Callithrix jacchus: one gene and its partner. The protein of the gene in region 2 interacts with the protein of the main gene of each other region in a pairwise test. Links are inferred from orthologs where the notes say so. Each region holds a gene or a part of one and is shown on either strand. Other genes may lie near its edges. The genes, in order: DYNLT3 and DYNC1I2.

Region 1 (16,068 bases), on a different chromosome or scaffold from region 2:
AATTTGATTTTATGCAGATTTACCAGTTTTATTTGTACTCATTTGTGTGTGTATTTAGTTCTACACAATTGTATCACATCTAGGTTTGTGTATCCACCACCACAGCCAAGATACTGAACAGCTCCAACGCCACAAGGATTCCTTGTGTTGCCCTTTCATAACCATACCCAATTCCCTCCTGCCTCCTGATGGAGGAGGTGCCTCTCCTTTCACCATCTCTATCCTCTGACATCCACTAATCTGTGCCCCAAATTTTTAAACTATTGTTTAAAAATTTTGTATACATTAAATCATACAATATGTATTCTTCTGAGATTGGCATTTGCTTTTTGTTTTATTTTGTTTTGTTTTGTGACAAGTTCTCAGTCTATCTCCCAGGCTAGAGTGCAGTGCCATGATCACAGCTCACTGCAGTCTGGACCTCCTGGGCTCAGGTAATCCTCCTGCCTCAGCCTTCCAAGTATCTGGAACCACAGGTGCACATCACCACACTGACCATTTTTTTATATTTTGGTAGAGATAGGAGTCTCCTTATGTTGCCCAGGCTGATCTCAAACTCCTGGGTTCAAGAGATCCTCCTGCCTTGGCCTCCCAAAGTGCTGGAATTACAGGCCTGAGTCTCTGCACCGAGCTGAGATCGGCTTTTCTACTTAATATAATTCCCCGGAGAGTCATGCTAATTGTTGCCCTTGTCAATAGGTTGGCTTTTTTGTTTGTTTGTTCTTAGTAATATTCTATTTATGTACCATAGATTGTTAAACTATTCACCCATTGAAGGATATCTGAGTGGTTTCCAGATCATTGCTATTGCTTATAAAGCTGTTATGAACACTCATGTCTAGGTTACTGGTCTGATTTTTATTATCACCATATGATGGAAATTCTGTCATCTACTGGAGCAGACTATTCCCATCCTGTTTCCTGCCTAGTACATCATGCTGTCTGCCACAATTGCTGCTAATACCATTATCAATACTGCTGCTGGTGTTACTGGTATTGAAGCTTGGACAGTCTTCCCTACATTGGAGAGTGGAGGAGAGCGACGAGGGCATCTGCAGCTGCAGCTCTGCCATTAGGAGAATGTGGGCTAATCCTTAACCAGACCCAAGTGTTTCTGCTTCTCTCTTCATCTGCTCCCTTCTCCACCTGTCAACCAATACTCTCCTTATTTTCCAATCCAAAATTCAGAGGGAACTAGTTTGCTTGGATTAGCTAATGTACCGGCCGGCTTATGGGTTTAAAATCCGTCTATGGATAAACCATCACCGGGTCAGGTGATCATGCCTAATGCAATATGTAGTCACTCCTAAGTAGAGCATCTATTTCCCTAAGCTGAAATGCAGGATTGTTTGATCTGTGGGCTATGCAATTTCTGCTAACAGGAGGGATTGAATGGGGCATGACTGCAATGTCCAGTATGCATGGAAAATTCCCTAGGAAAATTTACTAGGTAGATGCCCATCTTAATCATAAAGTAAGCAAAAATTAATAAAGGATCCACAAAATGTTTAATTGTTATAATAATGTTCTTCAAAAAATATGGTTGTAAAATGAACTCCATGATAAGAATGAGGGAATGTGTTCTCTTTCCAGGTCCACGAGGGGGCCTAGTTTTAAGGGCAAGAACTTCCCAGCACCAAGGCTGACTCCTAGCTTTCTCCATCCAGGTGATTTAACTGCTTAAATTTCCGCAGTCCAGGAAAGGGTCAAAAGTCAATTACTCCAGCAGATGTTCTAAGGAACTTCTTTCATTGGCCAAGGGACTTGTGGAGGGGGGGGGAGAATTCCTCCCAGGTTAAAATTCCCTGTCTCCCCTCCTCCAGGTGGATTTTCCCCCCTCTGGGGTCCCCTTCCTCCCTCGTGGAAGCTGCTTTTCATCTCCTAAACTCCATCTCTCTCTATTCCCTTCCACTCAGTGTGGAAGCTGTCTTTCCTCTCCTGGATTCCATCTTTCTGGATTCTCTCACTCAGTGTGAGAGGAGCTTTCCTTCTCTGGTTTCCCCCTCTGGGAACCCTTCTCACTCAGTGTGAGAGCGGCTTTTCTTTCTCCCACTCAGTGTGAAAGCTAGCTGTTTCTTTCTCTCTCCCTTTTCTCTCTCTGCCTAAATAAATCACTTTCTGCAAACACTTTTTGAGTCCAGTATTTACTTTACAAGCGTACTGCACCGTGGTCTCCTCCACGTGATAGATCAAGAACCTGGAAAAACGTCCTCTCAGGGGAGCAATAGAGTGAGACTTCACCTCAAAAAAATTAATAGATAATTTCATAAATGTGCAAAGGTTAACTTCACAGAATTACTCGACATTAAATCCTCTTTAGCCACAAATATAGGTCCACCTTATAGATTATAAAACAAATGCCCCTTGGGTGGATTCTAGCATGTGAGGTGAAATTTTCAACTTACCTCTTAATCTTTGTTTTGTCTGAGATGGAGTCTGGCTCTGTTACCCAGGTTGGAGTCCAGTGGCACAATCTTGGCTCACTGCAACCTCCACCTTGTTTCAAGCTATTCTCCAGCCTCAGCCTCCCAAGTAGCTGGGACTACAGGCATGCGCCACCATGCCGGGCTAATTTTTGTATTTTTGTAGAGAAAGTGTTTTGCTATGTAGCCAGGCTGGTCTCAAACTCCTGACCTCAGGCGATCCACCTGTCTCAGTCTCTCAAAGTGCTGGGATTACAGGCATGAGCCACCATACCCAGCCTTAATCTTTGCTTTGGTATCTAAGAAAGACTTCTGCCACAAAAAGTCACAAATTTTTCTCACCCTTTTTTAAAAAAAAACTGTTATCAAAAATAGATAACTATTTTTACTCAAACTTTGAAAATATAATCCTAGGCAGCCTAAGATTAATGTAAGAATGTAATGATGAAAACTGGTAGTAATAATATGACTCTTAATTAGGTAACACTCAACTTGGAAAGAAAAGCAGAAAAGTACTTTCACTAGAGTAATTGTAATCAGAGGTTGCCATCATTTAGGCAGCATATGGGTACTTTACAAACATAAAATTAGAGTGTTACAAAAATCCTTTGAATACCCTAATTTTACTAACTTAAGGTCCTCAATTAAAAACAACAATACAATTGCAAGTTGACAAATAGGACAAAATCCGTTGCAAAAAATAATCATTAAAAACGAATGGTTGCAGAATATGTTTTTGCACTTTTTGAAAATGAAATTTTGTGTTAAAATCATAAAATAAAAGGCATAAACCAGAAGCTATTATATTGTAATGGTAAACACTAGATTGAGGCTGCTATTTTAATGGTAGTTATTCTGCATAATATATTTATATGGTCCCATATTCATTTCTCTTCTCCATTTCTCCTATTTAGATTTCTTTTTTCTTTTTTTTTGGAGACGATGTCTCTCTCTGTCGCCCAGGCTGGAGTGCAGTGGCGTGATCTCGGCTCACTGCATCTCCTGGGTTCAAGCAATTCTCCTGCCTCAGCCTCCTCAGTAGCTGGGATTACAAGTGCGTGCCACCCCACCTAGCTAATTTTTGTGTTTTTAGGAGACAGGGTCTCACCATGTTAGCCAAGCTGGTGTTGAACTCCTGACCTCAAATGATTCACTCACCTCCCAAAGTGCTGGGATTACAGGTGTGAGCCAACTCACCTAGCCATTTCTTCTATTTAAAATTGCTAAGAGCAAGCAGAATGTCATTTCTCTATTAAATGATTATCCAGAAGCAAAAGTACAGTGCAGGAAGATAATATTTATTATATTTTAACTAGAAACAGAGTAGATGGCAAGTTCACGAGGTACGAATTTTTTTTTCTTAAATCAGGCTTCAACAATAATAAAAAACAAGTCTGCATATATATTTTGGTCACTATTATAATCTTCAAGGGCATGAAAGCCAGCAGCATAAAGAAACATGAAAAATGACCGAGATTTTTGATGTTCCCAAAACAAAGATCACTGCATTAAACTCCTTTATTTTGTTAATATTATTCTTAAACATTGAACAATTGTTATTGATATTCAGCAAAATATCAAACATGCACGTGGTATTCCTACAAGAATATTGCCTTAATATCATCAATATTAACACTAAGCTTATTCCTCCCCAAAATTCAATGAGTTATGGTTCCACTCTCTATATGTATTAGTGTTAGTGGTAATATGCAAAACTGATTTTGTTTTCAAGGTTAAGTAGCAAATTGACTTTGCATTTGGTGGCCAGCTGTGTACCCTAATTTTTCATCTATTTTCTTAATAAATTTAATTACATTTCATAAGCCCTGAGATAACCTGCTAATGATTGTATACTTTTAATCTATCTCTATTCCACTCAATTTGAACCTCACATAATAAGTCTTTAAAATTATTTACAGATGGTTGTAACTAAAGCAATGATAAAATGTACTACTTATATAAATAAGACTGATAATAAGGCCTTTAACTAAGAGTTGCATATTTTATATGCACTTTTAACTTGCTAGGAGCAACTCTTAAAATTTTGTCTATAATTCTGTCAGAAAGTAATACGCGCTTTTCATTTTGCTTACTTCTATGTGTGGCCAGATTCATTTTCTTTTTCCTCCCTTGTAAAACAACTATTTTTTTCCTTCCCCAAATATTAATACTTGTCTTCCAACTGAACAATTGCTAAAAGGAACTTAGCATTTGCACAGCACATTGATAACTACAGTGCTTAGCAGATAAATATCCCCATAATAGGCATCTGATAAATGTTTGTTCAACATGGAATGAGTGAATCATAAGGCAGCTATTTGAGTCACATACTCTTCATCCTATACTGTAACTAACTTGGTTTAACTAGGAAATTCAGTTTAACAGATTTAATTCACCCTCAAGTGTAAATCCAAAAAATTGAAATTAAAAGCAAATTGATTTGCTAATTCTCAGAAAAAGTAAACAAGTTAATCATAGTTGTTACTACACTATTACTTGATAGAAAAGAAAAAGAATTACTTTCCACTAAATATTATGTACAACTCAGTGAGGGGAAGAAAGTTTAAAAAAAACTAAAAGATGTTAGCTAATTCTCATTTTTTTCCACATTTACCCTTGTAGATTTTTTGTTCATATATTTATTTCTGTTAACTTCTCTAGCTGAAAGAGAATTTTATTATCTGAATGGAGTACCCCATCACCTTAGGTACAAAATATTAGTGAAAAGCTGGTGTAAATGTAAGATTGTATTTTTATATCATACCATATATCTGCATTTATATTTTGCTAGAATTCAATTTTTCTGATTTATATGATGTTGTATAGAAAATGAGATAATCTGCCAATAACTATGATATTGCTTGCTTAGAATAATCAGTTTTTGTTGGTAACTCTAAAGCATATTGCACGCTTGTCATCTAGCACACTAATAAATAACTATTACTGTTTTTTTTAAAAGGATACACTGACAAATTCTTAAGTTAATGGCTTTAGCCCAATATTTGTAGTCAGTTAAAGAACAATAGCAATGGCAAAAACGTTGACAATACAGTTCATGGTACGGTTCTCCCATCTTACAGTACAGGTTCCTGAAACACAAATGAAAGGATTTTGAAATACCAGCAAAATATATATGGAATATATATGAGAAAATACATATACTATCAGGAAAAAAACATATATATATATATATATACACATTTTTTACATGTTTTAATATTTTATTTCCTTCAACCTGTTAAGTCTTCACATTTCATATTGGTCTGAAGGTATACTTGTTACTAGGTACAAAAGCAATACTGTTGATAGTCTTTTTAGAATTTAATTAGAATTAAATATTTGATTAAAAAGGGCAGTTTGACTTTGCTAAAAGTTGGATTTTGTGTAAATCAGCTTAAGGTCTCTTACCATCAGATGTGGTATCCCAAAAACAGGAGCTGGCGGTGTGAAAGCCATATGCACTCTTCTGGACCACTGCACAGGTCACTGCAAATAAAGTCACAGAATGAGGACACTTACAGACAAAGGGAAAGAGAACCAAAGTCAAAGTGTGTGAGTTCAGAGCTCTATAAGCTGTAAAAAATTAAAATAGAATAAAATACAGAAAACAAAGCATTCAGCAAAGAGATTGAAGAAAATAAAAGACTATCATCTTATCTACCATCATGATTTTGACCCCATTAGATTCAGCTGGTTTTTTTTTTAACCAATGTCATTACCATTGGTGATTGTATTGCAGGAAAAAATATCAGTCAAATTCTGTGCTTTGTACCATGGGCAGGATTCAGACGCAGAAATGCAGGAAATATTCCACTTTATAAACAGTTGCTGTGTGGAATTTCTTACAGGTAAAGAGGCATGGGACTACTGAAAGAAAGAGTTGGGCTAAGAGGGCTTCAGTGGAAAGAGAGAACTGATGCAAATGCAAAGGGTGATGCTACCAACGACAAGTAGCTGAAACTGTCTTTGAGTAGTGAAAGATCTTCATCTTTTAAGTATTATTACAGACTATACTATCTTTGAATGAGTAAATCAGAAGTCCTTTATATCCTGTAGTATCCAACTTAAATGTCTATTGCTCATATACCTTCTCAAAATTCAGAGACAATCACAATGACAAAGGCAAGTGAACTAGTGAGGAAGGATACTGATACTTACCAATATATTTATAAGCTTTACCCAGCTTAACCAGATGTGTTAAGGACTGTTCCACTATGCTTGCAGTCCACTGGTTGATGTTGTTGTGATTATAATCTTCACCACCTAAAACCCCATCTACACACTAAAACAGCAGAAGACAGTTAAACTAGCCAAAAAGAACAATTTTTATACAAATTGCAGTAAATATTTATTCAAAACATAAAATATACTTATAGCTCAATGAGGCATCTTAGAAAATATACACTTGGTAAATATTGATTATGCATTGTCTCTAATTGCTTAAGAGTTTTGAAAGAGTTTCCACATACATTATCTCAGTCTATGAGATACTATGGGCCATATAGAGATAAATATGTCATGGCTTCTGTGTAAACAACTTAATCTAGCAGAGATGCTAATAAAAAAATTGTATTATCTGTAGCACAAGGAAGACTAATGATAAATTATGTCATAGAAAATTATGGTGGGGAAATAAAAAGATGATATCAATTGGTTACCAAGTGGCTTTGAAACAGCTGGGATTTGAACTAGAGTTCACATGCTAGAAACATAGGCTGAGACTAATTTAAAAACATAATTCTTATGTATACTAATTATATTCTCATTCATACTATGTGATTGCTTAGCTGTGAAACAACTAGCACACTTGCCACTGAAAGTAAATAAAGATGCTCTCGAAAAAGAAAGTCAAATATTGTAATTTCCCATAATCTTTAATTTTATCCACTTCTGACATCTGATTAAAAGCACTGGCTCTAGTATCACAATCCTAGGTTTTAAGGCCTACTTTGACACCTATCTGCTGTGTGACCTTTAGCAAGTGACTCAACCCGTTCAAATCCCTATTTCCTAATCCTTATAGTAAGGATAACAGCATCATCTTATCAAGTTGTTGTTAGGAGGAAATGAGACAATGAATGAATACCAAGTGCTCAGTGACTAGCACAGCATTAGCATGTAAATGATGTTAACTACTATTATCATATTGCTGCTGTTATATTTTACATTTGAGTGATGAAGCCAAGATACTAAAGCACTCATTTAATTCATTTTTAGAATCTAACACACATATGCAGCTTCATTTACTATAATCAGACTCATAATTCATTTTAAAATCTAGCTTAATAATACACACATACACACACATGCAGCTTTATCATTAGACCGCAGTAAAGATTTATAAAGGCACTAATACAAAATCTTAAGTTGGGTAGTATAAAATCTTCACTAATGACAAAATATAAAAGGATAAATTAAATGTTTTAGAAGCATTGACAAAAGTAATGTGGCTCAAATTACTCTCCTAGAAAGCTCAATACCATGACAAAGTAGGAAGGGCAGTGGCTTAAGGATCAGGGGAATAGGATTTTAATTCTGGCTTTATCATTACTAAGCTGATGACCTCTGGACAAACCTATTTCTCTCTTGTGATCACCTTTCCTTAAGGAGAAAGTAAGAGCACTCATTTTTCTTTCAGGTTATTTAATAGGACCACTCCAAGTTTTGCTCTAAATAGCAGAAAACACCATGGGGTGTGGGTACCACTGTAAATAGCCCTGCTCATTACTATTAATTAACATTTAGCCTAATTAATTACATTAACATAGAGGCCCACTAGACAATGCAGTCCTTAAGCAGGTATTTAATAGATGTTTGATGTTGAAGCAATGTTGGTTTTGATATACTCTCTGGGTATCTTAAATACACTTTAGACTAAGGTCCAAGTCAATTTCATTTGTAGCTCACTTTTTCTTTGAAGGTTTCTTGAGGAAGCAATTTCCATTACTAACAATAAAGAAAATATATGCATATTACTGATAAATGAGTATCCCTCAGTTCAGCAGGAAAAACATATTAGCATAGGGGTTCAGAGCAAGAAATCAAAGGAAAGAAAATAAGATCAGTAAGGAAATCAGAAATAACTGCTGAAATTATGTAATCATCTAGGAAGTGCTAAAATGTTTTAAAATGCTGCTTATTCCCAGGCCTTTCCAATGTCTCAATGGAAGTGTTTCAATGGTAGAAGATTGGTTCATGGGAGGACGAAAGAGGATAGACACGTAGCTGCAAATAACCTGTAGCAAAGCCGAGTTTCTTTGCAGTCTCATACTTCATATAAAAATTCAAGAGAAACTTGCTTTTAACGACATAATGCATCAGTTTGTTTTTTTAAAAAACTGTTTTCACTTAAATTACTTACATTACTTAACTCTGTCTCACAAATATTCAAGGAAAACTGATGCTCTAAAATACATCCAGTGACTTCTAGCATCACCTGGCCACTGCCAAGTATGTATTTCCCAGTTGAAAAAGCATGATTCTTTTAATTTGATACAATATTAAAGTAACAGGCATATGGTTTGAAAAATCCAGTGGAACAGAAAAGCTTAGAATGAAGAGTCCCCTCCCCACCGTTTCCTTTCCCATTCTCAGTCCCATTCCCCAGAGGAAACTCATCAGTGTACGACCATTTTTATTTCTTCTAAGGGTTACTTACATATCTCCAAATAACATTTGTGTCACTATTTCTTGATTTATGAATTATAGGCGACATCCGTAACTCCTACTACGATAGATGAAAATTTGGTTCCTTCAGACCACCCGCCCCCTTCTCTCAATATAGTGAAATCACAATTTTTTTTTAACTTAAATGTATTTACACTGTTAGAAACCTGTTTCCTTTCCACTCTGGGTGTTTTCTTCCACACAGAGGATTGTTCTTTAACATTCCTGGCCTCTTGTCCTGTCAGTTATTCCTCCCTATTGAGGTGGAATGAGTTACCTGGTTGGTAGGTGATAACCATCGTTTTAACATCTCATTTGGCAGAGCCAGTCTCCCAATGTGTTGAACTTGGGCTTTAGTTTCTCCTTCCCACTCCACCCAAACCAATGAAAGGCACCAGCCTGAACAAGTGTTTCTCTCTGCTGACTCAAATTTTCTCTTGGATGCCTCTTCCCAGGGCTGAACTGAATGGGAGTTAGCAAAACAAGCTACAATCACCAACCTAGTTTTTATCAATAATAAAGGTGATATTTTGTTCTCTTTCTATTGGCTCTTTTTTTCTTTTCATTGGCTCAGAACTTAAGCAAGGAAGAAGGCACTATCTAAATGAAATCCCAAAGAACCCAGTATTCTTTCTTTCATGTTCCATCAACCAAGGACAGTCTTTCCCGACTTTCCACTTCGAAAATTAAGATCACTCCCTTCTCATTACCTCCACTCCCTCTTCCACCTCCCAGTTTCCCTCATTTGTGCTTTTGCATTGTAAAGGTATCAGAAACCTTTGCATTCTACTTTCAATAATTAAATATTCCTGGCTACATAGATAGAATGCATAATTCTGAAGTGTTAAAATATGGCAAGATTTTCAGGTGCCTGTCTAGACCTTGAGTTAATTCTAGTTGTATAAGGTCAGACCTTGGTAAGGTGTTAAAAAATACCTTACCAATATTGTAGTCTGTATGTGATACCTCTAAAATAATGAAAGTTCCCTTGCCAGAATTAATTCCCAAGGATAATTTCTTTTCTATTTGCCTAAAAGGAGTTTCAAATACTTTCCTTTTCCTTAAAATTTTGATTTACCATCATATCAATGTTTAAGTGATCATTTTTCCTATTATACTCGGCAAAAAAGTGTACATGCCCGAAGGCAGATATTTCTAGGACTTTTGTTATCTATTTTATAAAATATACATATACATTATACATATGCTTTGTAAAAGTCTCTATGTGTGTACATATATACACACATACATATACTTTTATAGTGTTAACATTTAAAACAATGTTTGCCTTCTGGAATAAAAGTTCTTTTATCCAAAAGACAGGGTATCATTTTTAAACCAGTTTTCTAGACTAAGAAAATCCTTAGACATCTCTTTCAGAGTAAGCCCCAAGATGCCAATAGCACACAAAAAAACATAGAAGCACCCCTATAAAGAGTTAGTGGATAAATATTTAAAATCTTGTTCTTGGCTGGGTGCAGTGGTTCACGCCTGTAATCCCAACACTTTGGGAGGCCGAGGCAGGTGGATCACCTGAGGTCAGGAGTTTGAGATCAGCCTGACCAATATGGTAAAACCCTGTCTCTACAAAAAGTCAAAATATAGCTTTTAAAAATCTCGACCAACACAGCAAGCTTCAGGAGAAACAACATGTATAACTCACCTCTTTGACAATATTGTGGGCTTCCTCAGCATTGAAGCCAACCTAAAGGGAAAACAAAAGGTAAAGCTGCTTTCAACACAGGCTTGCAGATATGACGCTACATAGAATACCTTAGGCTGGCCTAGACAGGTGGTAGTGACAGGAGACCACAGTGATAAAGAGCACCAGGTCTACAGAAGCGGCCAATCTTACCCCTAAACACTTAAAACACTGAATGCTTTCCCTACCTACCACCCTGGAGAATGACTCATGAGGTCTGGGGTAGAGCCTGCAAGCCTACATTTTTTTTAAAAAGTGCTTTATACTGGTGATTCTAATGAACATCCTAGATTAAGAATCATTGTATTGTAAAACTCAGGAAATAAGCAAGAAGTGGCTATAAAGAGGTTATGTGTTATAAGAATATAGAAATAGTTTCAGCTAAGTGAAAGAATAAAGTGGTCCATAAGAAAAGAATGCTTAATAGATTATTTTCAATTTTGTTTTTAACTTACGTTAGGCAAAAATTTCTTTCCTAAATTAAAGATGATGAAAATACTTGATAACTCAAAATTAACATCACTTTAATGCTATAAAGTGGTCTGACAACTTAGTCTTTTCTTTAGAGTCCCCGTCGATAGCAGGAAGATAACAACTGACATCATGGGGTTCTGGTGAGGGCTGGGAAAGCCTGAGTCAGTAAGCAAGGCTTGTAATCCATAAAGCGCCTCCTTCCAGCCCACCCAGGCAAGAGTTACCGGGAGTGGGAGTGGCAGTGCCTCCAGGACACCGAGACCGCGATCGACGGGGGCAGCAGCACCTTCCCTGAGGACGCCAAGGGGCTGAGGAAGCAGCGGGAAGACCCGTTTTCGAGGCCCGCCCGGTAGAAGGGCGGAGCCCGCCACCCCATGCCCACTCCTAGCACCCAAGTTAGGCCTCGTCCTCCCAACCCTGCCCCAACCCCACCGTCTGATCCGCGCCCTCCTGGCCACCCCTGCCACCCCGAATCTCAAGACTTCTGGATGGGGAGAACGGGTCGGGCGGGACGGATCCCGGGCCCAGGGGAGAGGACCGGGGCTCGGAGGACGCCGCACCCAAACTCTTGGGGCCGCCCACGCTGGGAGACCACCCGGCAAGAGCCCCGAGCAGAGGAAGGCGGGAGCGGGGGGCGCTTTCAGGTAGCCAAGGGGCGGTACCTCGTCGCAGTGGCGATGGTACTCCTCCATGGTAGCGCCGGCTCTCCCTGGGGGCGGAGCGACGCGCTGGTGGAGCACCGCGGCCGCGCAGTGGCCTCCGGGGAGGCCCCACCCCCGTTTATGGCCTAGGGCCTTTCCCTACGCAATCCCCGCCTTTGTGTTGCAGTGGCGTCACCTGGCAACGCAGGGCTAGCTCCCGGCAAGGCGTCACGTCAGGTCACGCACCCCTTCCTTGCTTCCTCTGCCCTTTCTGGAAACAAGGGATGAATGTTAAAGAACTGGGAATGGCGCCAGTGTGGATCAGATGGGGTGACCTAGCGGCAGTTAATCTAGACTCCACACTATTGGTTGAGTGCCCACTGCTGTGATTATTTACATATATTTGGCCATTCACCATCATCTGGCACATAAAAGTGTAGTTAATGTCGTGATAAACCAGCCGCTTTGATTTGTCCACTTACTAGCTATGCTACTTGGAAAAATTCACCTCCCACAGCTTCAGTTTTCTCATATGGAAATTTACTATCATACCTATTTCACTACTGGTTGTAAGGATCGGATGAGATGCTATATACACAACTCCTAAAGTAAATGCTTCTCAGCTAGACAACAATCGCTACATTTATTTTAAAGTTGTTACTTTCCAGATAATCCTAATCACTTCCTCAAAACCTCACCATCAGCCAGAAGAGTTCTTCTGTCACTGCTTTTATCAAGATGAAACTGAGGTACAGAGAATTTAATTTGCCCAAGGTCATACATCCAGTAGGGTGTAGAAAAGGGACTTGAGCTCAAGTAATCTGATAGCAGAACCCAAGCTCTTAACCACTGTATTAGTTTCCTATTGCTACTGTAACAAATTACCATAAAGGTAGTGCCTTAAAGCAGCACACACTTGTTCTCTTACAGTTCTGTTACCGGTGGAGGGTGTCCAGGTTCTTGGAGCTTTGAACAAATGATTGGACAAAAGGCACAAACAAAGGAAGGAAAGAATGAAGCAACAAAAGCGGAGATTTACTGAAAATGAAAGTACACTCCACAGGGTGGGAGTGGGCGGAGAAGCCGTTCAAGGGCTGGGATACAGAATCTTCTCAGGTCCAAATAACCCCTAGAGGTTTACCATTGGCCACTTCGTATTTATCCCATGTAAATGAAGTGGTGGCCCACAATCACAGGGTGAAGTGAAGTTACAAAGGCCACACTCCTATGCAAATATCCGATTGGTTGCAAAAAGCAACCAATCATAGGTACTTTCAATTTCTCATCTGCCCTGAAGAAAAGGTGGGGGATTGCAAAGGGAATAGCCTCAGGTCCTTTTGTTACTTAGGCCTAGAAAGTTCGTTTTCCTTTCAATTTAATTCTAGGAAGTCAGTGTGAAACAGTCTTAAGTTCCCTGCCTCTTGATCCTATTCTGCCTGAGTTCTCGGGGTCAGAAGTCTAAAATGGGCCCATAGAGCTGCATGACTTCTGGAGGCTCTAGGGCAGACTCTGTTTCTTTGTTTTTTCCAGCTTCTAGAGACTGCCTGCATTCCTTGGCTCGTGACCCCTTCCTCTAAATTCAAAGCCAGCAGCCTCTTTTCTCCTCTTTGACCTCTGCTTCAAAGGAGATGCGAGGCATCTCTACAAAGGAGAGATGTATGACTCTCGCCCTCCTGTTTCCCTCTCAGGACCCTTAACTTAATCACATATGCCAAGTGTCTTTTGCACTCTATAACATATTCACAGATTCTTAGAATTCAGATGAGAACAATTTTGAGGGTGAGCATTATTCAGCCAACCACAACACTTTTCTATTTTGCTGCCCAGAATCAAAGTTGGAAACCATTAGTCTTCTAGTCCAACTCCCCTATTTTAAAACTGAAGCTGCGAAGATAAAGTAACTTCTACAAGGCACATACATGTTAACTGGACTCCTGGGCTTCTGATTCTCAGGCTCTTATTTTATGAACTTAGAACCAAATAGGGTTGTTTACTTGACAATATGGGGTTTGTTATTTGTTCTCCTGAGTTGTGGATCATGGAGGGTTACTGCAGAAGTGACTGTAATTCATAGAGGAAGCACATCCTCTTTCAAGATTTTCTTTTTACCAAAGTTTTCATTCTATGAGCAACTCCAGCATTCTATTCATGAGAAGAATTCATGGTGTCATTGTGAACATCAGTTTTATTTCCCTAAAGAACTCTACCTATGCCTGGGTGAGTTAAACCCTGAAGTTACCTAATCTTAACACTGCAAGGGCTGCACCAGCACCTCTCAAGTTTGTGTTTATATGCATCATGATCATTCATGATGCATATAAAGTGAGATGATGAAGTGTTGTTCCAGTTACCATTCCTGTGTAACGAATTACACCAGAATTTAGCAGCTTATTTATTATATTATGCTCATGGATTCTGTTGGTCAGAAATTTGAATGAGGCACAGCAGAAATAATTTGTCTTTGCTCTGTGTCTGAGGCCTCAGGTGGGAAAACTCAGAGATGGGAGGAAATTCAATGGTGGGGACTAGAATCATCTGAAGACTTGTTCATTCACATGTCTGATACCTGGGCTTAGATGAATCAAATATTAGCACTGTCAACTGTAGCAACAAACACACGGCCCCACTGAGTGGATTGGCTTTTTCTCATCACGGCAGCCTTAGAGTAGCCAGATACATTACATGGCAACTCAAAACTCCAAGCATGAGTGTTCCATTGAGCATGGTAGAAGATGTGTCACCTTTTATCACCTAGTGTCACAAATTACACAACAGCCCTTCTATCATACTCTAATCATCGAAACATTCACTCAGATTCGAAGAGAGGAGACACAGAATCCACTTCTCAATAGAAGTGACAAATAATTTGGGGGCCATGCTTTAAAACTACAGTGGGCTTATTAACTAGCATCCTGTGGTTGCAAGTAACAAAAGACCCAATAGAATGAGCTGAAATAATGGCATTTAGTTTCTTATATAACCATACTGATATGTTTGGATCTGTGTCCCCACCAAACCTCATGTTGAATTATAATTCCCAGTGTTGAATTATAATTCCCTGGTAGTAGGTGATTGGATAATGGTGTCACATTTCTCATGAATAGGGTAGCACCATCACCTCAGTGTTGTTCTTGTGATAGTGATAGCGAGTAAGTTATTATGAGATCTGGCTGCTTAAACGTGTGTAGCCCCTCCCCACTCTCTCTCTTCTTCCTGCTCCAGCCATGTAAGATGTGCCTGCTTCCCCTTTACCTTCCACTGTGATTGTAAGATTCTTGAAGCCTGCCCAGAAGCAGGAGCCACTCTGCTTCCTGTGCAGCTTGCAGAACCATGAGCCAATTAAACCACTTTTCTTTATAGATTATATAGTCTCAGGTATTTCTCATTGCTATGAAGCAATGAGAGAACAGACTAATACACAGACATACAGAGGCAGAGATACTCTATGTCTGTTTAGTTACCCAACAGATATTGGGGACTTTTGTGCTTTTCAACTTTCTATGCCAGTATCCTCAGTATATCAGCAACATTTAGCCTCATGGTCATACATGGCTGCATTAGTTCTGGTATCTCTAGGAACAAAGATATCACATTCAGGAATAAGATGAGCATTTCCTGGGGTTGATCAGATTTTCTTAGGAAAGCAAATCTTTCTTTCAAGTCTCTGGGAGTTTCCTCCTCATATTCTATTGGCCAAGACTGGGACATGTGACTCCCGCCAGGCAAAATATATGGGACAATAAATGTCGGCGTTTTCCTTTTGTATGATGAAAAGTGAGTTCTGCCAGCAAGAAAAAAAAGGATGTAAAATAAATGTTGGTACATCCATGCTATGGTCCACATAGAAGATAATAATTATATGGTACATTGAGGTAAACTTGAGGGACTTTGTGGGCATCTTTATGGGGTTTGGTTAAAAAATATTTTCTTTACATTATACAATTATACGAAAAAACAAAATAAAAAGGGTGTTAAAATCTAATTTGTAAAAACTTCCAAATAAAATCTCTTTCAATGCTTTAGTGAGACCCTCAATCTTGCTATCATTTTATATCTGGCTCTATGCATTAGGTAGTAATAAGCAATTCCTATTAAAGAGTTTTTAATAATTATTTTTCCCTAAATATAAATAAATTATATTATTGAGAAAGATTCCCCATAG
Region 2 (16,672 bases):
AGTAAAATGCCAATCCAATGAAATCATTATGTTGACAAGAAAAGAAAAAAGGCACTTGTCTTAATTCATCAATGAATTCTTAAACTTGAGGAAGACTGTTAAAAGACCACCATACCTGGCAGTGAAACACATACTCTGGGGTAGTTTTTTTGTATTTCATATTCCAAACAAGGGCCACACCATCAGGCTCATGAGGGGCATCATCATTGTTATTATAGGAAGCCACGAGTAACTCTGGATACTGCTCAGAAGAATCAAGAAGAAAAGAAATGCTATGCATAATAAGAACTGTTTTATATTCCTAGTTATTTGTCTTTATCAGATTATTATTCTGAAAATACAAATACCTAACATTTCATCAAGAGAGACATCTCTAGCGTTATGCTCATTGGGACATTAGTACAATTTTAAATTAGAACAGTTAATTATTTTAAATATTTTAATGTTAAAACATTTAATTAAAATGTGTTCAAATTTTACACAAAGAATTTGGTGAGCAACTGAAATTAGTAAAACTGGCCTGTAACATAAAGATCTGAATTTTAAATATAAATAATGTTTCTAATCTTTCTTCCAAAGTACTTGATTATGTTAACATTAGAGCCATCCATTAATTTTAAATAATACATATTGATTTATTACACAAAATTCCCATAATTAAAATAAAACTACCTGCTAATTATAATTTTAAAAATGAGTTAAGAGCAGCTAATTTTATTATGTTTTACCTGAGATGACCAATCCAAACAACTAACAACTCGATGTTTTGACCATCTTTCGTCAAAAAATTGTCGATTTAATGACAGTTTAGCACCTGCTTGAATCTCTCTACAAAAAAAAGACCAACCCCCCCAAAAAGATGATGTTATAACTTTTATCACTCTTAAATTTAACATTATTGGAGCTAAAAATCTTAGCATTAAACATTACCCTTCTTTGTCTTCCAAATCTCTCCCACTGTAGTCAAAGAAGATGTTAATCTGCTCAGAAAGAGCTCTTTCTACAATTCTTGTAGAATGGTCAAAGAAACTTAAAAATTCCTCAGAGTGTAAGATTTGTTGCTTTTCTTCTTCAGTCAGCTCATGAGGGGGAGCTGAAAAACAAATAATTTTTTGAAGTATGATTTATGTCAGGCAAATCATGTCAACTCACTATCACAGTATGGATCAATGAATGTTACACATTCTTTTTCAATCAGATTCACTTTTTTGATTTACAGCATTTTATACTACTTTAATACATAAATAATGAAATCTTAACAGAAATCAACAAAATTTTTTAAAGTTTAATTCTTTAAGACACCTTTACTATCATTTTCCTCATCTTTCTTCAAAGTTTTCTCTTCTTCAGGTTCAATAGGTGGTTTAGGAGCCACTACATCATCATCTTCCTCTTCATCTGAAAAAAAGCAGAATGATAGAATTAATTATTTTAATGAAAATAGTACTTTGAGACAGTATTTCAGAGGGTATCACAACTCCCAAGATAAAAGCAAAAGTAAACCAATGACAGGACAGAACAAGTACAAATAATAGGGATTTTTACCAACATAGTCAAAAATTAAGTAGAACATTTTGGTTTTTATATATACCTATGCGGTACCTCAGCAACAGCCACCCTAAATTCTGTAGCTACATAAACTGAAATAAGATATATATGCAACTAGGATGAATTCCTCATGAAGTCTCTAAAAGCTTGCCAGCATTTATCATTCTAGACAGAACAACATGCAACTCCTGCATAGTTTTATATAGCATGCTGACACATTAATGCTGTAGAATGAGGAAAATCAAATGTCTAAAATAGCCTACAGAGCTGGCTGCTTACTTGTGATCTGAAACCATCAGTGTCTAATGGGTCTTCATATGGCATAAAGACAGCTTACATTAACTCTCAGGTTGCTATTTGAGAGGCAGATTTTGAAGATAATAGCTATAAGACCACATTTTCTATTCTGTCATTTTAAATGCAAGTCTCATTATCTACTGTTATATGATGTGGCAATAAGCACTTAATGTTTTCTTAATGTGAATAAAAATATACACTGGGATAATATACAGTGTTTATAAGACTTCTAAAAAATTACTAAATCTCTTACATCACAAATAAGAATTTAAAATAATTTATTTAAAAATGTTATAGAACACATAACCCTGCCTACCTTTTCTTTTGCTACACATTTAGATGGGTTTTTATGAAGAAAATGTTTATTTTTATGGCCTAAACACATGCGTTATTTGTCTATAAGGGAAAGGCAGCAGGCATCTGCAGCAGAGTGCAGCTCAAGTAATGAGAGCCTATTCAATAAGGGGACTTTACTTGGTAGTTATAGTCATTTCCCTGACCCATGTTCAAAATTATCTAAAACACATATATACGACATACACAAAAGAATGGTCAAGAATGGAAACCAGCTGCCAAGTCATGGTCCCAGCAGCCAGGCCAGCTGACTAGATAGCAACAACCAGATGGCACTGCTGGGATTACGTCTTTCTGCTACAAGGTGGCAATGGGATGGCATAACATTCTTCCGCTTGACTGCTTCCAATCCTGTGTCTCTCCCCAATGGTGGGCCTGTGCAATTACCCGCACTCCAGGAGGCCTAAAGACAAGCCTTTACCCTGCAAACAAAATGCAGCTTGTAGGCCACACCAGCTGCCAAACCACACACACAGTGTTAGGTTTTGAGAGCTATGAAAATCTTTCTAACTCTGAAGAACAAGCAATAAAAATATAACTGTACCTGTGGAAAGAAAGCTTTAAATGACACTGTATAATGCACACAATGATACAACCTCCATCCAACTTAATCAAAATGATAATGACGTATGCCAATCCTACATTACTTGAAATTGAGCGATTTTTACGTTCTGACAAGTTTACAGAACTAGGATAAATGGCACGAGTGATTTCAATATATGCTCATACTTTTGAACCAAATGGTGAAGGTTAAAATTTTTCCTTTCAAGGGCCTCAATCAGCCACAAAGGAAAACAGTAATCACTGTCTTTTCAGCCAGCCCAACCACATTTGTCAGTCCTCTCTCTGTCAATGCAGCCAGAGCAATCAACCTGCCAAACATTCAGAATGGAAAAACAATCTGAAAATACAGGGTATAATGCACCTGCCAGTGAAAATGGCCATTTCAAGAAAAGCTAGTGATCTCAGTGACCCTGCTGAGGAGGCGGTGGTGCAAAGGGGAAAGAACACGTAAAAGAATTCTTAGTGATCGCCATTCTCTTGCACATTGACACTTCCTTACAAAGCATGCCAATTACAGCTTTTGTGCTACTTAAAAAAATGAAAGCTTTTTGGGGCAAAATAATCACACAGAGAAACAGAAAGACACTACTCCTTTTTAGATGAATTCTCATGTACAACGAATTATTAATCTGAAAATAGTATAACTGGTAGCAATTCTACATGATACCACTCAAGCATTAGAATGAAATTCTTCCATAAAGTCACCTGCAGGTGTAATGTAATAAAATAATTTAATTACATTTAACTTATAAGTTGTCTTTTAGAACAGAACATCTCCTTCAACTAAAAATTCACTGTTAGAATATACATATATTTTCCACTTCCTGCTAATGCTACCAGTTATCCTAATCAAGTCTGTTTACTAGTAGAGTTCACTGTATGTAAATCCTAAAATCAAAGATAGGGATTTTGAGTCACCCAGGACAGGTCATTCTTGAGCACTGTGAATTATAAATTACAGCCTCCTACCCACATCTTATTCTCCTCCTTCAACTTTGTTGTATTATACGGCCTCTAAGTACCATTTCCAATGACAGGTGTCAAATTCCTGTCATAATGCATATGGTCAGTACTTTAGTGCTAAGTGACCTCATAATTTACATATTTAACAGAAAAGATCTTGTTTATAGACTCTCTTTTCCTTTTAAAATTTAAAATGTAGATGTAGTATGTCAGACAGTGATCTGTATCTGTGTACTCAACAGCATTTGGCATGCCTATTTGTCCATCTAAATTATTTCAGTTGTAGCTGAATAATGAGTATCAACTATTTAAATACATGCTCTCAGGGTTTTATTTTAGAATAAAAGTACATACCCTCCCTTTCTACATGGATTAAAACCAGATTTTAAAACTCTAATTGGTACTTAAGCTTCATAAAAATGATTAAATAAGTTTCAAGGAAAATAAAAACAAATGATACTGCTGTTCTTAAAAACTGTAAAATGTGATATTTTTGCTGTAAGGCTAATCTTAAATAATTATAATATTTACCAAGTATTTCACAAAAATGTCTGATATCAATAACATCAGATTAAAGGATGTTCTTCTGAAACAAATATGCTTTTCTTGTTATAAGCTAATATAATAGCTACCAAAGGACTATTAACATGGCCAAAAATATAAAACTGCAGTCTAAAGATTTTCTAAGCTAGTCCTTATTACATGATGAGCTATATTTAAAACTGGGAAAGACTGTAACAGAGCAGGAAGACTGAAAAATGGGGTTGCCAAGTCACATCAATTTATTGATGAATATTCATTATAATATGCTAAGTGGTTAACTCCATGCTTTCTCTGACAAGTAATCTAAGGTTATAAACTGAGCAGTAAAGAGTGCATAAAAGTAGCAGTTACTTTTAAAATGACAAATCTCTTGTAAATGAATGCTAAAACTAGGTTTAATGAACCACTGAATTTTACTGAGTTAACATCAAAATTGTGACATATTTTGGAGAGACAGAAAGAAAAGCTGTTTTGTAAATTAAGCTGCACCTAGAAATAACACTAAAGAATGAAATTCCAAATACTCTGGTTTCTCTTCAGATCGTATAAATTTTTCACCTTTTACTAAAGAATGAAATTCCAGTTGTTGAAATAATCTGTTACAATGGAGTAGGTTAATCAAAGTTAAATCATCTGTGAAATGGGTAGCTTTTGTTAAACTAAAGGAAGAAGCCTTCAGAACAAGTTTTCTCATCTGTACCTCACAGCACATTTAAGATACAGTTTACATTTAAGATACGTTTAAGGTAAGCTAAGAGTATTTAAGTATTTAAGGTAAGCTAAGGTAAGTCACAAAGCATACTTTGAATTATTTTAAAATATTACAAGACATTTAAAAGATAATATACAGTATCTTAGAAAATCCTTACTGAACAAACATTGCTACTTATGAATCTATCACTTAAAATGATTATATCTCAATATGAAGCAAAAAAACAAATCCCATCGTTAGTGCACTGTTGTTTAGGAAATATGTTTGTTGTCTATCAATTTACTATATAGTTTTATTATACTGGACAACAGAGCAAGACTCTGTCTCAAAAAAAAAATAAAGAAAATATTAAAGAAAAATTATTCCTATGTAATCTCTATTTTTTTAACTAATGATTAAAGCATATTCCTTTGATGATTAAAGCATTTTCCTATAATATTTTCATATTTTCTTCTAATATTTTAAAATGCATCCCATTTTAAGATAATTTAATATCCTATGAAAAATTCCTAATTTACAAGGTAGTCTGATTATTCCTGGTATAAAGGAAGATGACACTGAGTTCTAAAAGTCAGGACACTTGTGGCATATAAAAATATGATTTGACTTTAGAAAATTTCAACTTATGAATAACTTCACAAACATCTATGAAAATATTAGATGAAAATGCTTTAAATCATTAGTTTAAAAATACAGATTACATAGGAATAATTTCCCTTTAATATCTTATTTTTTTTTAGATGGAGTCTCGCTCTGTTGCGCAGGCTGGAGTGCAGTGGTGCAATCTTGGCTCACTGCGACCTCCACCTCCCGGGTTGAAGTGATTCTCCGGCTTCAGCTTCCCGAGTAGCTGGGATTACAGGCACACACCACCACGCCTGGCTAATTTTTGTATATATATATTTTTTATATAGCAGAGATGGGGTTTCGCCACATTGGCCAGGCTGGTCTTTAACTCCTGACCTCGTGATCCACCTACCTCGGCCTCCCAAAATGCTGGGATGACAGGCGTGAGTCACTGCGCCTGGCTCTCATTTAACATTTTCAAAAAATCCCTTCTTTTCTGGAGCAGTTTCATTTTGAATCACTCTATTTAAATCCATTTGTGCATAATTTCACCTTCTTATACTTTACTCTTTAAAATCAAATACATCTTTAAGATAATCTTCGCTGGGACAAAGCTTCATGAATGTACCAATGGAATCCATTCCTTTTTTTACACCATCTAGAATAAGATGCCAGGTCACCTGGTTTTCTCTGGCTCTTCAAGGAAAAATACACAGCTGACTTTTTAATCAGAAATTATTTCAATATAGATGTAATGCTAATTTGGGGGGGAAAGGATTAATAGTTTAATTATACCACTTCCTTTAACACAAAATTTGTCTCTCTGTAGTCTTTTTTTTTTTTTTAAGAGATGGGGTCTTGCTATGTGCCCTGGCTGGCCTCAAACTCCTGGGCTCTAGTGATCCTCCTGCCTCAGCCTCCTGAGTCCCTGGGACTACAGGTGCACATCACTTTGCCCAGCCATAGTCCTTTTTATATAAAATTTGGGTTTTATTTGGCAGTATTAGCACCCTTACGTAGACTTTGTTATCTGTCATCTCATCAAACATTACATTTTTCTGAGGCCAGGGTTTCAGATTTGCTGATTAAAGTCTTTCAATCAAGATTAAGAACAAATGCTTCAATTTTCAATTATGTTTATATCCTTATAGGTCCTCTGAGGGCTAAAACTAATTTATTAAATGTGTTATTCATTCCAGAATCTTTTAAAAATCCATTTTAATCAATTAATTTATTTATTTATTGGAGACAGAGTCTCACTCTGTCACCCAGGCTTGAGTGCAATGGCATGATCTTGGCTCAATGCTACCTCTGCCTCCTGGGTTCAATTCTCCTGCCTCAGCCTCCTGAGTAGCTGGGATTACAAGTGTGTGCCACCACACTTGACTAATTTTTGTATTTTCAGTACAGATGGGGTTTCACCATGTTGGCCAAGCTATAGAGCTAATCAACAGGTATTGAGGAAAAATATTTGGCTATTAAGCCAATACCAACAGTAATTACAAACTCCTTCACAGATAGGAAAGTGGAATGCAATAAGAGAAATCGTGCTTCACTAAAAATCAAGTGCCAGTTTCTGGATGTATGCCCAATATTCTCTCACACTGTGGACTTAGGCCCACTAATTAATCTCCTTGAACCTCAGTTTCCTCAGATGTAAACAAGCTGATTAAATTAGATAAACTTCAGGGTTTCTTTTTCCTTTAATGAGCTTTCAAAAAATAGTTTAAAAAAAAAACCCATACAGAATAAATAGGTAAGAAAAAATAAAGCCATTTTCAAAAGAGTTAAAACTTTTAAAAGGCAAAGAAAGTAACTTTTCCAGGAGTATTTCTGTGGGCACCACGTTCCTGCCAAGAGAAGCTTTTCACCTGCAGAGAAGAAAATTGACTGAAGTCATGTGGTACTAGTCAATTTTATTCACAGTAGGTGCTTTAAGATAGCAAAGCACCGCAGTTCAGAAACAGTACTACCAACTTATAGAGTAAACTTGAAAGCAAGAAGATGGCTAGAACAAGGAATAAGAAAAACAAGGCAGAATAAAAACCGCTTTTTTAAAGGAATAGGCTTGGCCATTTTTATTTTAAAAACATACAAAAAAAAGATAAGAGTTAAGTCTATGACCAATTTTTAGCTTCAATTTGGTAAGTCACATTACTTCTGCATGGATTATACTGCCTACCCAAGTTTAATTTGCTGTTTGTTACACTCCAATTGTGAGTTCACCAATTTTGTTTCATGGTGAGTTGTGGAATTCATTACATAATTCTGAAATGGGAACCAACCAGGCGAAGTTTGATTGCCAAGGTATTAAAGTGATGGGTAAGCAAAGAAGAGTTAAGCACACAGTGTTTCCATTATAAAATCTTAATTTCAAGGTTTTTCTCTTTCCCTCTTTCTAAAACTTACATAACTTGGGAAAAGAAACTTAATGTAAGAGCTCCAGACATGAAAATAACTGTAATGATATAGAAAAGAAATTATCTCATTTTTTTCCCCCAAAGGATACTGCCCGAATATCTCATTTTTATAAACATTTCCAAAGGTTAAGGATAGCTTCATGGTATCAGGATACAATTTTTTTCTTTTTCCTTCACCTATATACCTCAACCTGTAACTAAAAGGACAACAAATCCAAAGAAAGGATAATCTAGTGCCTTTATATACAGCAAATACTCAATAAACTATACTCAAATTCAAATAGAATCAGTGCTAAATATAAACCGAACTACTTACTATAGGTTACTATCATAAAAACATGAGTTGCTGCTTCAGTGGTGAGAGAAAGCACACCTTAGAATCAGTCAGATTTGGTTTACAATCACAGCTATTAGCTACGTAACACTTGACAAACTATTTCTTTCAGTTTCAGCTTCTTTGTGTGTAAACAAAACCAATACCTAACTTTCAGGGTTTTGGTGACAGCATTATAGATGATGCAAAGTGTCTCACACTATGCCTGATACGTGGTAGGCACTTCTTGGTGTTATAATTTTTAGTCACCAATTTAAATAAGAAGTTTGGAGACATATTCATTGGAACCAAAATATTAACAATGGATCATACACAGAAGAATCAAAAATGTTTCCTCTCTATATCCTTTCTGTACTTCTAAATTCTCTATGATATACGGCTATAGTAATTAGAAAAAACTATTTTTAAAAAATGAAAGTCTTGGCTGAGTGAGGTGGCTCATGCCTGTAATCCCAGCACTTTGGGAGACCAAGGTGGGCAAATCACTTAAGGCTAGGAGTTTGAGACCAGCCTTGTCAACATGGCGAGAGACCCTGTCTCTACCAAAAATACAAAAACTAGCCAGGAGCGGTGATGCATACCTCTTCTCCCTGCTACTCATGAGGCTGAGGCAGAAGAATCACCTGAACCTGGGAGGTAGAGGTTGCAGTGACCTGAGATGGTGCCACTGCACTCCAGCCAGGGTCTCAGAGCAAGACTTCCTCTCAAAAAAATAAATAAATAAAAATAAAGTACTCGGACAAAAATGTTGTATCAATTTCCTCAAAATTTTGAAACTGTAATTATATGCTTGACTCATTAGCTATTTATAATGCTTTCTAGTTTTACCAACCCTAATTTTATTATTTTTTTGAGATGGAGTCTCGCTGTGTCACCCAGGCTGGAATGCAGTAGTGTGATCTCAGCTCACTGCAACCTTCTCCTCTTGGGTTCAAGCGATTCTCCTGCTTCAGCCTCCCAAGTAGCTGGGATTACAGGTGCCCACCACCAGGCCTGGACAATTTTCAGAATTTCATAGTAGAGACAAGATTTCACCATACTGGTCAGGCTGGTCTTGAACTCCTGACCTCAATCAATACACCTGCCTTGGCTTCCCAAAGTGTTGGGATTACAGGCACTGAGCCACTGCACCCAGCCACAATCCTAATTTTTCCTAGGTATATACAAATATGAAAATTAAAAAATTTCTTTTGGTAGTAGACAGGGTTTCAAGGATTTCTCCTCATTTTGCTTACCTGTATTTTCTTGGCTTTCTGCAATAAATATAACTTTTGTTTTTCCTTAATGGAGAAACATGATAATTTAATTAAAAATTACAAAATAAATTAATTTAAACATTTAATAAAATTTCTATTCCCAAACTGTTAGCGGCTCTAAAATCCACAACTCATTTGGTGGTAAACACTGACATGACCAGAGATAAAGCTATTTATAGTCATTACTTATTTCACTTAGTATACTCATATGCTTTGCTGCCAAAATATTAATGACCAAGATACCAATAGAGTTTTCACATATGATACAATTTTATTACTTTTCCATAATCTGAAATATTTGGAATTCTAATATATATATGGCCCCAAAAGCTTCGGGTAAGATACCGAAGTGTATTAGGGATCTCACATAAATCTTTTTTTTTTTTTTTTTGGATGACATAAATTCATTAGCCTCACTGGGAAAACGAGATCACAGGACCTTATGCTTGAATCATTAGCTATTTTAATGCTTTCCAGTTTTACCAAAGGGTCTCCACATTCATTATGTCTGTGCTTACTTCCCCATATTTTACACAAATTACAGGCTACTAACTAATCAACATAATACAGCCCCTATATCATAAAAGAGAAAGTTTAAAAATTAAGTCTAGATTCATTTATTAGTATGAATAACATCAGGATACACTATGCTATTCAGAAATAATTTACATGACTTTGTTTACTGTGGGACCCACTCTTTTTTGGGGAAGAATCATGCTCAAAATTATGCTTAAGCGTTTTGGCTTCTAAAAGCAGTATACATTAATGACAATATAAAGACTCAAAGACTTAAATTTATGTTAACAAAATTAAGAAACCACACATACAGCTTACAATGTTAACTTCTAAGAGAACAAGTATTAAAACTCTAAAAAAGAAAGACACAGTGCAGAAACTGTAAAGCATTATTTTCTCATGTTTCCCTAAAAAATATGCCAAAATACAAAAGAAAAAAGACATAAAAGATAAACCAAAGGAAGAAAAAAAGAATATGTATTTAACATAGGTGCTCAATGACAATTATATTAAGGATAGATATTCACCTTCTTTGGGTTGAGCCATAACTGGAGTCTGAGTTTCCTTTGTATATGTGACAATTTCTCGAGGAGGAAAATCAACTTGAGTGATTTTAGCCATTCCAAGTTTAATAGGTCCTCTTCTAAATTAAGTGAATAAAAACAATACATTTTAATTACATCAAACCATGTTATTTTCAAAATTAAGAAGTAAACAGTCCTTTGCACCCAACATTGTAAATTAAATTAAATCCATTTTATTCAAGAAATTTTAGATTAACGATAAACTGGCTGTATTTTAGCAAAAGAATTAGAAGGTAGCAAAGGCAAAAGATATTTCTGAATCATTCAGTATTTTTATTTTTCATTTTAAAAAGCCAAGTAATTTCATTATTTAGAATAAATGTGTAAGCAATAATGAAGTAAGAGGATAGGAACTTCAGAGTGGACCACTGAATAAGGTTGTTAAAAGAAACTGGTTTCAGCTGGGATATGGTTCTTTCTGGACTTTTTTTTGAAGAATCAGACATGGATATCACTCAGACCACATTTAGTTGATCTCGCCAAAAGGAGAATTCAGCTTTACAACTGAAAAACAGGTTCCTATTAAAAGCCTTTTTTCTACTTTTATTTGGCAGAAATGGAGAATTACATTATCAATTTGAACTTTAAAAAGAAATATTTAAAACTTTTAAATCTCTAATCTCTGCATGATCAATACTGCCCTTGATTCATATATGGACAAACTACAAAAAAATTCAGATATTCTACACCTAGACTAAAATGACAGATCTTCTGAATACCACAAATCTACTAAAATCACTTCTGTTTTAGTTAAATATAAGGAATACATTCTTTTTTGATAATGGAAGAGCGCTGTGGCTGAGGAAAATGAACGAAAAGAAAAATATCTTTTATTAGTTATCTGGGAGATCTTTTATTGGTTATTATGTTAGATGTTTAAATTCTAAACCAAATAAAGTACACTTCCAAACTCCCAAAAAAGTTCTCAGTTATGAAGCTGCCTTAAAAAGATATGCAATAAAGACACTGTTGTAACTTCCAGAATATGAAGCAGGCTATCACTGGTAAGAGAAATTTTTTCTTATATAAATACTCTTTTCAGTTCTGTTTAGTAACTAAATCCAAGTCCTGTACAATATAATAAAGCATAAACAATAAAGTATTATAAAGTATAAAGTAATAAAAAAATGTGGGCCATAGCAATTTTTTAATGTCTCTTCTAGTTTAAAAAAAGGTGGGGGGGAAGCATAGTCAAAGAATTAATTGGACAAATTAAGTAATCTGAAGTAATCTAGAAGTCTAAGAATAAAATTTGAAATAAGAAACTTTATATTCTGATTTTTAAGATGCAAATTATATAAAAAAGTAAATCACTCACATATCTGGAAAAAAATCATCAAGCCAACTATATTAGAAACAAGTTACCAACGTGAATGCATATAGAGACTAACAGACAAAAAAACCCCACAATATTAAACAAACAAAATATTCCAAGATTTTATAGGAGGAGGTGGGTAGGGAAGTAATACCTCACTTATCCAAAAGACACTTTTACTGAAAATAAGAAAACAATGGGAGGCGGGAGGGGGAAGCCTCAATGTGGCCAATAAAGAGGTCTTCCAGTTCATGTACGAGAAACTCATGTATTTTTCTTATATGCCTAAAATCAAGGCTCATTTACTCTTACTTAAGACACAATTCCAAAAGGTATAGTCATATATTTTAGAAGGTATAAGTTATCAGGGGAAAAGGGCTATCTGAGTCAGGCAAGATGGCAAGCAAACATTTAAAATTTGCATTAGGATCTAGAATAAAATGAGTGAATGAATGGATGAATAATCTTATCTCTATGTCAACAAAATTTAAAAACCATACATATAAGCTTACAGTGTTAACTTCTAAAAGAACAAGTTTTAAAACTCTAAAAAACAAAGACATACATACAGAAACTATAAAGCATTATTTTTCTAATGTTTCCCTATGAAAATATGCCAAAAAATAAAAGCAAAAGAGACGGGCTGGGCGCAGTGGCTCACGAAGTCAAGAGATCGAGACCATCCTGGTCAACATGGTGAAACCCCGTCTCTACTAAAAATACAAAAAGTTAGCTGGGCATGGTGGCACTCGCCTGTAATCCCAGCTACTTGGGAGGCTGAGGCAGGAGAATTGCCTGAACCCAGGAGGTAGAGGTTGCAGTAAGCCAAGATCATGCCATTGCACTCCAGCCTGGGTAACAAGAGCAAAACTCCATCTCAAAAAAAAAATAAATAAATAAAAATAAAAAAGAAAAGCAATAAAGAAAACAAAAATGAAAGAAAAGAATCTATTTAAAATAGAGACTTAATGACAATTATATTAATAATATTCATCTACACATTCTATGAAGAGTAATCTATTCATCCATTCACTCATATATTTATTCTAGATTCAACCATTCATTCATTTATTTATTCTAGATTTATGAATGAACAGTAATGAATGAATGGTGTAAGGACCAGCATCTCCATTACTCTCAAAATCTAAGAAATCGTCAGTGAATTTTAATATAGAAAAATAAATTAATATCCATACCAAGTAACCCTGAAAAGGTTCAATTTCATGTAGACTGTGTATTAGAAAAAGTCTGAGAAGTTTTTAAATAACTCTTAGAAAACTTATCTTAAAAATACAGATATAATTTTAAAAGTTTGGACACTTCAATGGACTTAGGGTAACTAGAACATCACATGGAGAGAATATTCTTTCATTAAAGATACTGGATAAATGAGGTGTCACAGTAAAATATAACTCTTGTCATTACTACATGATACAATATTACAAACTTAAGCAAAATAAAATTAGGACAGTTTCACAAAGAATCAAATTCATTATAAAACAGGGAAGGTAGAAAATCTATTCAATACCCCAAATCGGAATCTGAGTGAAGCTGAAGAACTGATGGATCTGTATCCCAATGCAGCGTCCTAAATGGTTGCAGGACAACCATGAAGCATTAGCAAAAAAGGCCATAAGTTAGTCAAGCAAATACATTCTACGAATAGCTAAAGCTAAAGTACTGTTCACAATTAAAAACTACATGTTCTGGTTAGTATTTTTTAAAAAAACATCAAAAAACAAAACAAAAAATCTACCAGGTCACTCAATCATCCAGTGCATGCAGTAAGCTTACTACGGTTAAAGATGCAAGCATATACCCCAGAATAGTAAAAAGACATTATTTACAGACTATGGGAAACTAATATTGTATTCAGAACAGATCTGCTTCAGAACAACTAAAGCAGACAACCCAAGTAATTATTTATGGATAACAAGCTAGGCTATAAAATGGTTGAAAATTCAAGATTTCTAGTGAAAAAAGACCACATTTAAACATCTTAGTTAACGTATTCTAATCTTCCCCAAAGCATTAAATGTGTGCAGGAAATTGTCATACTGGTAAAGGAAATGAGTCAACACATAAGCCTTTTGGTAATAAAACCAAAGACTATCCCACTGGGATACAAAATAGCTAAAGTTTCCAAAATGTGACCCTTCTGTAATTTATGGGTTAAGCACTGCCTTGGGCTTACATATCATCTGCTTAAGAAAACAACTAAAGATTTCTGTCTCTAGGAAAAAATACATTTTTCCCTGGAAAAATAATTTATGTTCAAATATCAATTCTAAATAAATATTTAGTGATAAGTGTTAGCATCATCTACTGGCTAAGCAACTTATAGAGGATCTTTTCCAATTAAGCCTAACAAAGTTACTAGTAGAACAAAAGGTACTTTATCATACTGGCATTTATGTAGGTTAGCAATATATAAGATAATTATGCACAGTACAGTCTAATGCTCATAGTCCCCATTTAAAAAAAGTTAAGCATAATACATTTAGTACTACCATTTTTATCAAATATATTTTTCACTTATCTAAGATGTTATAACGTACAACTAGTGTTAGTTGCTACAATGTTTTAATACAACAAATGGTTTCTCTTACCTGCCTATACAATTTATCAAGAAAAATAATAATGAATTAATCTAGAGAAATCCTCCATTTAAAAAACATAAAGAAAGATCTTGGAATTTAAACAAGATTATGTGTATGCAATGTAAGAAGCAGCCACAGTGAAGATCTACTTTGTACTAAGCAATGAACACAGCAACAAGCTTAGGCTTTGTTAAATCAAAAGAAGTTCTATGAGACGGTCTCCAAGGAATGTTCTGTCAATAGCCTTTACATTATGTAAGAGATCTGCTATCAATGACATAAAGTTCCTTGTTGAGGATGTCATTTTAGTCTAAAATCAAGTAAGACTGTACCTCAAAATACAGCCAGTACTGAAAATCCATTGGATGTGTACATGATTATATTTATTAAGGGCATCTTCAGACATACAATTCCAAGTACAAAGCCTGAGAAACAAACTGATCAAAAATGGAAAAAAGGGCCAGGCACAGTGGGTCACACTGGTAATCCTGGCACTTTGGGAGGCCGAGGTGGGCATATCACTTGAGGTCAGGAGTTTGAAACCAGCCTGGCCAACATGGTGAAATCCTGTCTCTACTAAAAATAAAAAAGTAGCCAGGTGGCACACACCCGTAATCCCAGCTACTGGGGAGACTGAGGCAGGAGAATCACTTGAACCCAGGAGGCAGAGACTGAAGTGAGCTGAGATCACACCATTGCACTCCAGCCCAGACAACAAAGCAAGACTCCAAGTCAAAAAAAAAAAAAAAAAAAAAAGGAAAAAAGGAACAAGAGGCCTGGATTACCCTACTAAATAATTGTTCCTAATTTTCGAGATAACAAATAAAATGCAGCTCCCTAATCTGCAAAGTTAGAGAGAGATCATTTCTCATGGCCTTTTAAATTTATTCTTAAATTACCATCAGTCCCAAAAGAAATTCTTGGCGCTTAGAGTGATTCAAGCATGTTTAGATAGCATATTTTATGTTGTATCTATTCCTACTCCCTACGTGTACTAATCTTAGACTGCATTGGCCAACTGAAGTTTTCATGTACAGGTGCATGCATACGTCTCACATGTCTTCATGCATTTTCCTGTATTTCTTCTTATTGTCTTTATTCTTACATTAGCATCGTTTTTGCTCAACATGAGTTCATTAGGTTTCATTCTCAGACCTGGGAACTCTTTTTAAACATCATATATTCAGAAATGTTTTATTTCACTGTCAATATCATCATCACAACATTAATTATCTCTATGAAAGCTGTATATGATTTAGGTAGAATTCATTTTTTATTACTGCGTATGTGTACATATACATTAAAATGAATATACTCAGCCTTCTTGAAAATTAATGTTTTCAACTGAGTTTGTACTCTCAAAGGAGACAATGTACATATTAAGGTTAAAAAGATGTGGCTGGGCGCAGTGGCTCATGCCTGTAACCCCAGCACTTTGGGAGGCTGAGGTGGGTGGATCATCTGAGGTCAGGAGTTCAAGACCAGCCTGGCCAACATGGCGAAATCCTGTCTCTACAAAAAATACAAAATCAGCCAGGCCTGGTGGTGGTACATGCCTGTAATCCCAGCTACTGAGGAGGCTGAGGCAGGAGAATCACTTGAACCCAGGAGGTGGAGGCTGCAGTTAGCCAAGATCGTGCCACTGCACTCCAGTCTGGGAACAAGAAGGAAACTCCATCTCAAAGAAAATTTAAAAAGATGTAAGATCACCTCATTCAAAAAGAGGATTTTTCTCTCTGATAAACTCACAAGAAGCTAATTTTGTATTCATTATCTAACAAGAACAAATACTTTAAAAAATATTAACTTTTTTGGTGTTTCCAATTTATCACTTTAATAAACTACAGTTCACACTAAATATAGGTTAGCACACTACCCTGAGGGCTTTTCAATAAAGTCAACAGTATCTTTAAATTAATGATTCAATCACTATAATGTAAATTCCATGAAAGCAAGGACCAAGAATGTTTTATCCTTTGTGGTAACCCACAGTATTTAATAAAGTTAATAACTTAATGAATATTCGTTCTATGCATGAATATTTTTCTTATCAGTATTACTCCCTGTATTAATTTACAATATTCTAACAGGTCTCTAAT

What was found.
Region 1: the proteins of DYNC1I2 (region 2) and DYNLT3 interact in binary tests that used the Homo sapiens proteins (3 or more experiments, as listed by UniProt). The two-hybrid records come from large-scale screens. The link is inferred for Callithrix jacchus from reciprocal best matches to the Homo sapiens genes DYNC1I2 and DYNLT3.

Annotation. Positions count from the first base shown.
Region 1 is NC_133524.1:38,620,105-38,636,172, forward strand, and holds DYNLT3 (dynein light chain Tctex-type 3), read right to left. Parts: upstream 11,993-16,068; 5' UTR 11,958-11,992; coding exon 11,928-11,957; intron 10,795-11,927; coding exon 10,753-10,794; intron 6,706-10,752; coding exon 6,582-6,705; intron 5,910-6,581; coding exon 5,832-5,909; intron 5,513-5,831; coding exon 5,436-5,512; 3' UTR 3,701-5,435; downstream 1-3,700. UniProt on the Homo sapiens protein: Acts as one of several non-catalytic accessory components of the cytoplasmic dynein 1 complex that are thought to be involved in linking dynein to cargos and to adapter proteins that regulate dynein function.
Region 2 is NC_133507.1:57,798,777-57,815,448, forward strand, and holds part of DYNC1I2 (cytoplasmic dynein 1 intermediate chain 2), read right to left. Parts: intron 13,562-16,672; coding exon 13,502-13,561; intron 10,718-13,501; coding exon 10,602-10,717; intron 9,583-10,601; coding exon 9,538-9,582; intron 1,399-9,537; coding exon 1,303-1,398; intron 1,094-1,302; coding exon 931-1,093; intron 829-930; coding exon 729-828; intron 242-728; coding exon 116-241; intron 1-115. UniProt on the Homo sapiens protein: Acts as one of several non-catalytic accessory components of the cytoplasmic dynein 1 complex that are thought to be involved in linking dynein to cargos and to adapter proteins that regulate dynein function.